3 linked regions of the Arabidopsis thaliana genome follow. The protein of the gene in region 3 interacts with the protein of the main gene of each other region in a pairwise test. Each region holds a gene or a part of one and is shown on either strand. Other genes may lie near its edges. The genes, in order: AT5G09240, TT2 and NF-YA6.

Evidence for each region.
Region 1: the proteins of NF-YA6 (region 3) and AT5G09240 interact in a two-hybrid assay, tested with the Arabidopsis thaliana proteins (one large-scale study listed by BioGRID).
Region 2: the proteins of NF-YA6 (region 3) and TT2 interact in a two-hybrid assay, tested with the Arabidopsis thaliana proteins (one large-scale study listed by BioGRID).

The regions. Positions count from the first base shown.
Region 1 is NC_003076.8:2,873,020-2,876,742, forward strand, and holds AT5G09240 (ssDNA-binding transcriptional regulator), read right to left. Parts: upstream 1,831-3,723; 5' UTR 1,762-1,830; coding exon 1,630-1,761; intron 1,517-1,629; coding exon 1,405-1,516; intron 1,120-1,404; coding exon of another isoform or gene 1,047-1,119; coding exon 874-1,046; 3' UTR 641-873; downstream 1-640. Other genes in the region: SRT2 (sirtuin 2), read left to right, coding at 1-51, 125-252, 325-424, 544-594; KIWI (ssDNA-binding transcriptional regulator), read right to left, coding at 2,467-2,585, 2,957-3,062, 3,215-3,349.
Region 2 is NC_003076.8:13,724,751-13,728,470, reverse strand, and holds TT2 (Duplicated homeodomain-like superfamily protein), read right to left. Parts: upstream 1,729-3,720; 5' UTR 1,665-1,728; coding exon of another isoform or gene 1,601-1,664; coding exon 1,323-1,600; intron 1,250-1,322; coding exon 742-1,249; 3' UTR 510-741; downstream 1-509. UniProt on the Arabidopsis thaliana protein: Transcription activator, when associated with BHLH2/EGL3/MYC146, BHLH12/MYC1, or BHLH42/TT8. Involved in the control of flavonoid late metabolism in developing siliques.
Region 3 is NC_003074.8:4,640,328-4,645,163, reverse strand, and holds NF-YA6 (nuclear factor Y, subunit A6), read right to left. Parts: upstream 3,235-4,836; 5' UTR 2,655-3,234; exon of another isoform or gene 2,650-2,654; intron 2,508-2,649; exon of another isoform or gene 2,281-2,507; 5' UTR 2,197-2,280; coding exon 1,920-2,196; intron 1,820-1,919; coding exon 1,737-1,819; intron 1,626-1,736; coding exon 1,545-1,625; intron 1,465-1,544; coding exon 1,294-1,464; intron 1,178-1,293; coding exon 863-1,177; 3' UTR 593-862; downstream 1-592. Other genes in the region: CID4 (CTC-interacting domain 4), read right to left, coding at 4,473-4,505, 4,629-4,733.

The sequences.
Region 1 (3,723 bases), on a different chromosome or scaffold from region 3:
GGTTTTCATATACCAGTATGTGAGAAGTGCAAAGGAGTCCTAAAGCCTGATGTAAGATTGACTTAATCAGATAGAGACGAATCAGTTTAGCTCTGTTTCTTATTATGTTCTCGTTGAATTGAAGGTAATTTTCTTTGGAGACAACATCCCGAAGGAAAGAGCTACTCAAGCAATGGAAGTTGCAAAACAGAGCGATGCATTCCTCGTGTTGGGTTCATCCTTAATGACAATGTCTGCTTTTCGCCTTTGCAGGTGATGCAGGAGAATAATCATCCAGTTTTGAGTTTGCATCTTACTAAGAAGCTTTCTATATACCTTTTGCAGAGCGGCTCATGAGGCTGGTGCTATGACCGCAATTGTAAATATAGGCGAAACAAGAGCTGATGACATTGTTCCATTGAAAATCAATGCTAGGGTTGGTGAGGTATGAGCATAGCATAAAGCTCTTCCCTTTCCTTCAGCCTTGAAAATGCCTTAAATATCCATATTATTTCATGATTGTCAGCCTTAATAATTTGTCATTTCGTGATTGGTTTGCTGCAGATATTGCACAGAGTTCTTGACGTGGGATCGCTCAGTGTCCCAGCTCTCTAGCACAATGTCCGGATCATTTAAGTAAACTTTGGCAAGAGCTATGTTATCATTTAGATCACCTATATATATTATTTATAACTAATCAAAATGAATGCTTGTATTCCTGCAACGTATCTCAAGTTGTAAATCCAACATCAAATAAAAGAGTAATCAACATCAAATAATAGATTCAACACATGAACTAACTCGAAGCAGCTAACACTTGCAGAACATGGTGTTGTTCTGAAAAACAAACCAAAACAACCAAAGCCACCTTCCAATACCCGATTACACAAGCTTTTAAACCTCAGAAAGCTCAGAGAGGGCCTTATCGATATCCTCCTCATGGTTCCGAAGATCGTTCCACTGCATTAAGAAAAAGGTCTCGTGTAATAAGCAGGACATATGCACGTGTGGAAGACATAAACAATGGAAGAGAGATGTGAATACCTGTTCCAGGCTTAGAGAGATACCTGCAACATATAGGAGACATCGAAAATCTTGTCAACATGATTATGCAAAGAAAGCAAACTAATATAGCTGGCCCTAGGAGACAAAAACCAAGACGTTGTTGATGAAAAGAAAACACTCTGCGCATCTCCTCCTCTCAGTCCCAAACCGCAGAAGTACTAGATATATAATAAAAGTCCCTAAGATCTGCTAACTAAATGCAGAACCTTAACGAAACAAAACATGAAAACAAAGGGATGAGGATACATTGTTGACCATAAAAAAGAAAAGAGAGGAGGATACAGAGTATTAGCAAATGTGGAATTGTGAGAAGAAGAGAGACAGTCAAAAGAAGATATGTAGTTAAAAACAAAAATTTACCTTGCTTGCTATTACAAGGTAAAGTTATACCGTCCTTGACAAAGAACTGACGAATGGCAATCCAAATCCTCCCATTGCAATTCCTCACAAAGACTCTCCGATTCTTATCTAACTGGAATGTAAACAAAACATAACATCATAAACAAATATCACAACTTGATCCAAACCCTAAAACTCATACGAACTGCTACAGACAAAAAAGAGATGAATAGTAGAGAGACTAACATTGCAGATGAAGATGTCCTCAATCTCGTCCGCTGGCTTTGCCACTTTCTTAGGCGGCGCGTGGGTCTCAGATTCGTCGCGGTCGTCTGATGCTCTGACATCCTCGTCTTTCCTTTTTCCGTTCTCAGACATTTTCTTAACCTCTAAAAAAAACACTCTTCTACTGCAAAAATTGACTCTTGAGATTCTCAAGTTAAATAAAAAGCACCTCTCTCCTTTTCTCGCGTAATATATCTACTGCGTTCACCGAATTACAACTGTGATATCAGATTCGGAACGCCATTTTACAAGCGCACAGTTTGAGAACACGCGCGGCCAAACTTAAAACGGGGGAGTTTTTTGGGAAGGTAAATATTCTTTGGAAAAGAGCAACTATAGCAATGAAAGTAGCAACACAGAGTGATACATTTATTGTGATGGGTTCATCTTCAAAGACAATGTCTGCTTATGGCCTTGTCCGGATCAAGTGAAGTTTGGCAAGAGCTATGTAACATTTAGACCTATCTTGTTTATAACTTATCAAATGAATACTTGTATTCCTGCAACGTATCTTAATTTGCAAATAAAACAGCACTACAGCAGTAAATAAAAGAGCAATCATTATATTCTTAATACCAACCAAAGCTTGTCTGAACCAAAAGTGAAAGATTCCATACACCAACTAATTTGAAGCAGCTTACACTAGCAGAACATGGTGTTGTTCTACAAAAACAACCAAAACAACTGAGCCATATTCTAATAGACGTACAACCAATGATACAAGTTTTAAAACCTAAGAAAGGTCAGAGAGGGCCTTCTCGATATCCTCTGCGTGGTTCCGAAGAGTGTTCCACTGCATTAAGGAAAAGCTGTGTAATAAGCAAATAACAAGAAAACAGAAACACTTCTAGGAGACATAAAACAGTGGAGAGAGATAGAAAGAGATGTGAGTACCTGATCCACGCTTAGAGAGATACCTGCAACGTATAACAAACATAGAGATAATCTTGTCAACATGATTAGTTATGTAGAGATAAACTAATATAGCTGTCTCTAGAGAAAGACATGAAGGAGCAATAGCACCAAAATAAACAAAACGTTGTTGTACAAAAGCAAACACTCTGCACCATCTCCGCTCATACTTACAAGTCCATAAACAGTCTCAATAAGCAGAATTGCCTATTATAAAACCCTAAGATATGCAATTCTATAAACCTGACTAAATGCAGAAACTTAACAAAGCAAAACAGTAACGAAATATAAAACTAAGAGATGAGGAAACACATTACTAGAAATAATGAATTATGAGAGCCAAGGGGCATTGGTTTAAATTACAAAATAAAGTTACCTTTCTTGCCAGGCAAAGTCTTTCCGTCCTTGACATAGAACTCACGAATGTCAATCCAAATCTTCCCGTTCCAATTCCTTACAGAGACTCTCCTATTCTTAGATATCTGATGTATAACCAACATGAACCCTAATTTGATTAAAACCCTAATTTTGAGCAAAACACATCAACAAAATTAAAACTTGACCGAAACCCATAAGCTCACTGCTAATAGAGTAGATAACGAAATTGAAAGATAGACAGAAAGTGTAGACTAACGTTGCAGACGACGATATCGTCAGACTGGTCGGAATCGTCTGCTGGCTTTGCGACTTTCTTAGCCGGCGCGTGGGTTTCAGATTCGTCATCTGATGCTCTGACATCTTCGTCTTTCCTTTTTCCTCTAGAAGACATTTTCTCCAACTGTAAATAAGCAGACCCAAAATGTTCTCTTCAGACCAGAGTAAACTCGCACTAAACAAAAAACCGAGCAATTACAAAATTTAGTAAAAGTGAGAAGGAAACCTGGTCGTGACGCTGCAACGAGTTTCTCGGAGACGGCGAAAGGACTCTTCTACTGCGAAATCGACAAAAGAGAATTGAGAGATTCTGAAGAAAAATGAATCGGCGCGTCTCTTCTCGCGTATTTATGTTAATGTGTTCACCGACCACGCGCTGTTGCAGAGCGTGTGATAAAATTAGAACTGTGACAGTTGTTTTGATTCGGAACGCTTTTTTATAAACGCGAATTTGAGAAAACGCGGGAGCTTTTTTGCTTGGGAAAGGTG
Region 2 (3,720 bases), on a different chromosome or scaffold from region 3:
TTTCTATGCACATTATAATTTATACACTACAATATCTTTCACTAAAAATGTATTCTAATACATTTCTTAAAATATGAAACCCCGCACGTATGTGCGGGTCAGAATCTAGTTTCCTTTAAAATACAAACACTTTTTGATGTCCAATAAAATACATGATTTTTTAGTATCCTTAAAATACATAAACTTCTAAATTGTACCCATAAAATACAGGAGATAGGGGGAAAATCCGGAATATTCCTTTGTTTTGTTTTTCAAATATGTACTGGCACATGACTTAGAACAACCATGCATCTAGTATTTATTTATACGATGATTCCAAAAATGAGAAGAACAAATTCCTTACATTAATGACTATGCCTGCCTATAAATAGACTATACATGTATATTCTAGTAATATTTCGTAATAACAAAATTGTAAAGTTGATTCGTATTACCAATAATTCACAAGTAGAATTTATAGGTTGGGTGGTTAAGCGGTGGTTAGGTTATAATAAAAGCTCTATCATTTGCTCATACATAAATTTACAAAATCTATCAAAAATATTTATGTCGTACGTATTTGCAATAATAAAAAATTATTAGTTAAAGACAAAACCCATTTCTATAACATGTGGATCGTATAATTATTTGTATTTCTTGGTCTCCTTAGTAAGTTAGTAATTAGAAGCGTTCAGACAAATACAGATATACTTTTGTCCGTATAGAGAAATATGTATTAACGTAGGTTTTTGCAATATAGGCTCAACAAGTGAAGTCTCGGAGCCAATCTTCATCGTCGCCACGATGATGACAAGAAGTGAAAGGTCTATTGAGATCGAGATTACCTTGAGCAGGAACCAACTCTCCCAAAATCTCGTTAGATGAAACAAGAGATGTAACGTTTCCACAGTCCAAACCATCAAAATCCATCAAATCCGGGAAGTGAAACTCCGAATGGATCCTATCGAAATCGAATTCGAGATCTCCCATCAACGAAGATCCACCTTGATCCATCTCTTGTTCTTTCAGAGGTAGTGGACTAGTACTACTCTTCTTCTGAAGAGAGAGATCCGAGAAGAGAAGAGTCTTTGAGCACCTAATCGCCTTTGTACGTATAACACATACATTATTCTCGTTGTTCGTCGAATGTTTTATACGTTTTGGTTGCTTGGTTTGAGTTTTGGGAAGTCTTTTGCGGAGGTTTGAGTTCCAATGATTCTTTATTTCATTGTCTGTTCGGCCTGGAAGCCTCCCAGCTATCAACGACCATCTGCTTTAATTATAATGTCACATAACAAATAACTTTACTACAAAAAGAAAATTCTATGTGGTTAGTGAAAAACCTGTTTCCAAGAAGATTATGGAGACGGATTATGAGTTCTTCTTCATCAGATGAGATGTTACCGCGCTTTATCCCCGGTCTTAGGTAGTTCTTCCACCGAAGTCTACAGCTTTTGCCACACCTCTTGAGACCTTTTATGTGTGCCAAGACAATTATTGTACGTAGAAGATATAAAGACGGATCGGTAGATAGAGAGATTAGTACCAGCTTGGTTAGGGAGAGTGCTCCATTTGCCTTCGCCGTGAGTGGTGATGTAATCTCTAAGGATCTTGTCTTCATGATCAGTCCAAGCTCCTCTGTTTAACTCTTCTCTCCTCACACTAGTAGTTGCTCTCTTTCCCATTCTCACTTTTCTCTCTCTTGTGGTTGTGTGGTTGGTACAATTGTCTTTAGTGTTGTGTTGAGAATAGATTCTGTTTTTGTGTTTAGCTGAGTATCTTTATAGGGGAGTTGTTGATATGTCCGTACATCAGTCGCTTTCTAAAACCTCTGTCATACACACTTTGAAATTTTAATGCTTTCTTCACCTGGTAATAATTAGCTTTGGTGAGGTTAATTTTACCGAATTTTAACATCTACAAAGAGTTTTTCTAAGCCAAGTGTGAATTTAGGCCTGGGAGTTCGGCAAATCGGTTTAATCGGGTCGGGTTATTCGGTTTTAGGGAATTTCGGTTTTTGGAAATGCTTCCGAATTAAACCGAATTTAATTTCGGTTCGGTTCGGTCGGGACTCGGGTTTTTCAGGTCGGTTATCTAGATTTATTTAACTTCCGAAATAAAACTGAAAATTTTCATATTCGGTTTATTTGAACCGAATTAGACATGTATCAAATACGGGAAAAGGGTATTTTCATACCCGTACTATTTTCTGAGTGTATTTTCGTATCCAAAAAAATTTGTTGGGTATTTTCATATATTAACCGCATATTTATTTGAATTTCATACCTCAACTTAAGAAAAAGTACAAAATTCAGAGTCAAAGTAACGGGTGTTAGTCAACTCCGTGAAGATGATAAGTCAGCAGACACATGGAAAATATGTGTCTATAACGACGTCGTTTTACGTTATGAACGTTTAAAATGTTAAATTTGTTGGGTAGTTTCATATCTAAACCGCATATTTATTTTAATTTAAAAAAAAGATTGCTAGGTAAACAAAGTATAAGAGAATACATGGTCACACATACCTACTATACATTGTATATCCAGCTACACGAAGTAGACACGAAGTAGATGTATTACATGACCACATATATGAAGTATAGGACGTCATGTGGTTAACACCATTGACATACAATTCCGGTAAACCGGTCAGTTGACTCAGGCTTTGACTAGTGTTGACCGGCGTTGACCAACAAAAAAATTTAAAATTATTTTTAATACTCAAAAATACGAAAATATTTTTTTTCTTTTATATATTCAAAAACATATTCTATATTTCGTAAAAATATATTTGTATTTTCAATGCATTAAATCTTATAATAATTAGTTTTATTTTTAATTTCAAAACTAAACTAAAACTAGAATAAAAATCATTATTAAACTTTAGATTAAAGAGTCATATACTCAATTGTATTAGGAAGCAATATGAAATTGAGTATATGACTCTTTAATCTAAAGTTTGCATGGTAAAGAAAATTATAATATTTTTTATATACTCTTTAGTCTAAATTTATTTTTGTATACTATGTAGTTCCTTTTGTAACAAATATTATTAAGAAAAGTTCTCGTAGTAACACATAAACAACCAAAAACTTGCAATTTTTCTTTTTAATATATAAAAAGATAGAAAATCTAACAATGTTGATTTCAGCAAAAAAGTTTTTAAAATAAAATTCATTTGTATTACGTTTTATTCTAATAATTTTTGTGGTTGATTTTTTTTTATAAAAAATATTGTATAGAAATAATTGAAGTGTTTTAATTGACACTATAAAAATAAGCAATTTCCTTACTTAATTAACTATAATAATATTTTCCTGTTTTCATTTAAAATTTAAAATTTAATAATGATTTTTAATCTATTTTTAGTTAAATTTTGATTTTTTTTGTAAAACTAATTTTTCTAAGATTTAATGCATTGAAATATAGAATATGTTTTTGAATATACAAAACCAAAAAAAAAATATTTTGTATTTTTGAATATTTAAAATAATTTAAAAGATTTTTTTGAATTTTTTTGTTGGTCAACGCCGGTCAACCCTAGTCAACGCCGGAGTCAACTGACCGGTTTATCGGAATTGTATGTCTATGGTGTTAACCACATGACGTCCTATACTTTGTATATGTGGTCATACAATACATTTACTTCGTGTAGTTTGAATTTACTTTGACATTGTTTTGCGTTATGAACATTGAAAATGTTCGAAATTGTTAGATATTAATGATTCCATGTTGCGAT
Region 3 (4,836 bases):
GATTTGGAGGTTTATGTTGAGGGACTGAGCACAACCAATGAATTGAGTACCATAAATGTACGCTGGTGGACCAACAGAGAAAGGTATGTCTTCGGTGAGATCGGATAAGACAGTTATTCGAACACGAGGAGGAGGTCCTTGTGGTATTGCTTTGAGCCTCCAGCAAAGTGGGCCATTGCATGCCGTGAGACACACCAATATCAAAAATATGAAGATCCTTTTTCTCTATGGGATCTTGTGCTAAAATCTGAAGGATAGCAGAGATTTAGACAGATGTCCAAGTCCAATCAATGGTAGGTGAATGAATGTAATCGTAAAGACTTGGTGTTTGTAGAAATTGAGAAATGATAACGTGAAGACATAATATATGAGATGATTTTGTTCCAACATGATTATTTGCGTTGGTCAACTTCGTTTGAATTATGAGATGTCACACAATATTTGACTAAAGCCAAAAGTGATTACCATGTGATCGGTCTTGTTACTAATTATGGTTTATATGATTACTAGTAGATATGATTATGTTGTATAGTCTGGGACTAATATCTTATCTCTTTTGAAAATGGACTATAAAAGGCAACAAACGTGAGCTCTAAAAGCAAATAATTATACATAAATCACAAATCCATGCAGATGCACTTAATCGAAACTAATAAACTTAAATCAAGTATTAAACAATATTCAGCAACAATCACATAAAATAAAATAAACAGCCAACGGAAAAAAAAAATAGTTGAAAGATTTCTTCTTCTTTTGTAGAACGAAAGCAGATTTATAAGATAGAAACTTAATGGATCAATGATTTAAATTAGCCAAGGATGACTTCCCTTCATTATCTCATCCACCACTTGCCGGAGCTCTCTCACATGAGGACTGAGACATGGTGGTTTGATGGATAACCTGAGAACCTGAATTGTGGGTTTTGCTGGAACATGTCGTTGTTGTTCCCGGTTATGTCCGAGCAAGATGTTGTCGAGACACTAGACACAACCCCACCCCTTGAAATGTCCATTTGCCGGAACTTTCCTGGAGAGTTCTTGAAGACATGAGGTGGAATCAAGAATGGAGGAGATAGTGAGGAATTTGATTCTTGATGCTTCTTTGTGTTGAGGAAACGTCCACCAGAGCCTCTAACTCTCTTTAGTGCATGGAGGTGCCGCGACTCGTGAAGATATGGCTGCATAGTTTCATACAAAAAATTGGTCTTGAGTCAAGACTCTTGACATAATAACTGAAACTTTCTGCATATAATTCTATTTATCAGAGTGGTGCAATATAGATAAACAAACATACTTTGCGGACTTTGATGAGCTTGTTCTGAGCTTCAAGCTTTGCACGGCGCTCTCTGCGGCGGAGAATGGCTTGGTACTGTTTTGCATTGACGAAAATTGGTTCGTTCTCTGGAATGTTGTGAGGCAAAGGCATTCTAGACGGAACCAACCCTCTGATTTGAGGATGCTGCACCTGCAAAGATTTCCATAACAAATACTTTCATAAAGATACAAGAAACAGTATTATCTTGAAATGTTACAATTGTGTATTACCGTGTGTTGTGATGCATAAGGAAAAGACAAGAAACCATTGAAATGTGGCGTTACATTGCCGTGTAAAGGCCAAGAAGCCGCCTGTGAGCATATATAGACATCATTAAGATAGTATTCAGCTTTAAACTCAGTCTCATCTTGAACTACTACAAGGTTTATAATAAGGTCAAAGATGATAGTCTAATAATTAACCTCAATAGGAAGAACCACTGAATCTTGAGACACCTTTGATATCGAATGACTTCCAATAGGATTTTCCGGGTTTTCTTTGTAACCTGCACCAAAACAAGAAACCATAGATAAGCTAAAATTAAATGCAGTTGACGCAGCAATGTGAACTCTTACTCAGGCGAAAAAGGTTAAAAAGTGGTGGACCTGAGAGATGAGTGACAACAATGTTGTGGCCATAACGATTAGTAGGTTCACTTAAGCTAGCAACTTCACTATATGATTCTCCTCCAGTGGATTGAGTAGAGGAGGAATCATAGTGCTGCATTTGAAAACCAGTTTGTTTCATCTCCATTGTCAAGCTTAAAGTGTTGTTATCGGTCAAGGATGATGATCCTTGGACATTTGAGTTGGTGAAGACAGAGTTATCCCAAGAAGTTGCAGGACAAGGCAATGAATCTTTGCTACTATGGAACTCTTGCATTGTCTAAAACATTAGTTCAATAAACGAACTAATCTCCAGACCATAGTAGATCCATCAAGAGACAAGAGATGTTTATTCAGTCACCTGTAATTCCAATCAAGTAAAAAAACCAGTCATGATATATTGATATTGCATTATTCACTTGGAAGGAATCAAAAACCATTCTTGATCCACAAAGAAAAAGCAACAAACAACAGATCTAAGAGAAAGAAACCATAGAGCAGATCCAATTATTACCATACTAAAATAGAAAGTAAAGATTCAGACTTTGAGAATTAACGGATTTGATTACAAATTAGATATAAAAAAAACAGAGAAAGCACAAACATGCAATTCCACTAACTTGAGAAGGGAAAATAAAACCAACCTTGGAACAGTATTGATCCAAACAACAAGCGAGAAAACAGAACATAACTAAAAAAGAAGAAACAAAAAAAGTATTTAGATTTTTTTCTCACCTATCACCCAAAAATGGTTTTATTTTTCTTCTCAAAGCAGAGTACAAGTAGTCAAATATAGCGACCAAATTTACCAAAAAATCAGAGGGAGAGAGAATCTATGGATTTGGTGAAGATGTAGAAAAAAATCATAAAAGGATGAGATGATGCATGTCTCCTTCCTCAAAACATGGCTTCTTTCTTCTTCTTTTTTTCTCTCTTTATCAATTTCAGCATTTCACTGTCTCTGCAAAATTGAGTAGTATTATTGGCTATGGCTAAAAAGCTTCACCTAACCTTTTTTTTTTTTTCTCCCAGTAGTACCAACTTTTTTGCCACCACTAATTCACCATGAACACTACCTTTTTACCTGGACATTAATTATTATTATTCGTTGTTTACATTATGATTGTGAACCACTCTTGTCTTCTTCCTTTTTTTTTTTCTGTCCTTATTAATTACTACTAGTAACAAATAATGAGTACTCCATTTTATCAACTAGAAAAAATAGTAAACTTTAAGATTAAAACAGAAAAAGTGGGTACAACTATGTATAAAGGCTTACGGTGAGATCAGATTCTGATGAAGTGAAAATGTCCCATTAAAGAAACAAACAGAGACACACATTCTGTGTACCTTGCTTGATATCTTTGTATTCACAGCCGCCACATCGCTGTTCCGAAATCCACGCGCGCGTGATATTCACGTCCGGTGTTTGGATGATGAAACCACGTCGTCACAACATAAGGACACACTTGCCTTTTTGTTTGACCGGACTTTTGGTTTTTCTCGCATGAAATAAATCAGTAATTGCATAACGATGAGTTTTGATAGATTCTTAAAGAGCATTACAATTACAAGTAAGGTATTGTAGTTGAATATTCGTTGTTTTCTTGTCTCATTTCGGTATCCATACTGAAAAGAAAGAAACAAACTTAGCAAATTCATCGGTTTTTCTATCATAGCGGATGACCGTAAAATATGTTAGTTGGTTTCGTGAAAAGTTGTTGAAAATACATCGAAAACATGATTCGCAATTGAACTAAGTGATTATAAGGTAAATTCTAGATGAAGATTGGTGACCCAACATCATTCGTAAGTGTCAAGCTCAAGCCACGGTTAAAATCTCCACTTTAAAGCAAAAACAATAAATGTTGAGAGAGACTCGTAAAAAAGTAAAAAATAAACAACTCAATGCAGTCACCTAACCTAATAATATATGCGACTGGTAAAACTAGGTTTGATTCCATTTTATTTTTTTCTTGTGGAATCTTAAAACATGAATGTGTTGCCCACCAAATCATATACACCGAGTCATATCGATCATCATGATAATAATCGCGAGACAACTACTTATAGTAACGTTTAACGACTTATTGAAAAAAGCATGCCCTACAACAACACCAAAAATGACTAGTTCTGCCTGCTTTGAAATCGTTGTTACTCTTCTATTCTTTTCATCTAAACCGCATCCTTTTTGGATTTTAGATAACAAAATCACCCAGAAATTTAGCACAACACACACAAAAAAATATGCAGACGACGAAGTAAAAGACGCATGAGAGCAACCTACACTCTAAATTTTATATCTCTGATACAGCCAAAAAAAAGGAGAGAGTGCACTCAGTACTACAGACTTCAGATAGATCGTTTTTTTTCTTTCTTTTTTTCTTTCTTTTTGTTTTCAACACGAAATACCAAAATCAGTAGGCGAATCTAAAAAAGAGAAGAAAATGGTTTCAGTGATTGGGTAAGGGAGAGTGGATAAAACCAGAGAGGGGTTCGTACACTTCCTTCACAAAAAAAAAAAACATCATCACCATCGGGTAGTAGTAGTTATTACTCTCGTCCTTTATTATGATATGGCATGTCCTGCAAAACACACACATACAGAGATGAGATTTCAGCATCCAAAAGTTTTAACTCTTCGACTATGTAAAAGAAAAATAAAAAAAGAACAAAAAGAGGGAATCTACTATTAGCAAAAATAATAACCTGCGGGTAAGGAGGAGGATGCATGTAATAAACTGGCCTAGGATGCTGCTGACCAGGTATCATTTGCTGCTGCTGCTGACCAGGTATCATTTGCTGCTGTGGGTACTACATCACAATTCCAATTCCAATCACCATTAGACTTTTGATGTTTTTTTTTTTTTTTTGTGTATGTGTGTGGGAATAGTAATTCAATAGGGCTTGTGTGTTA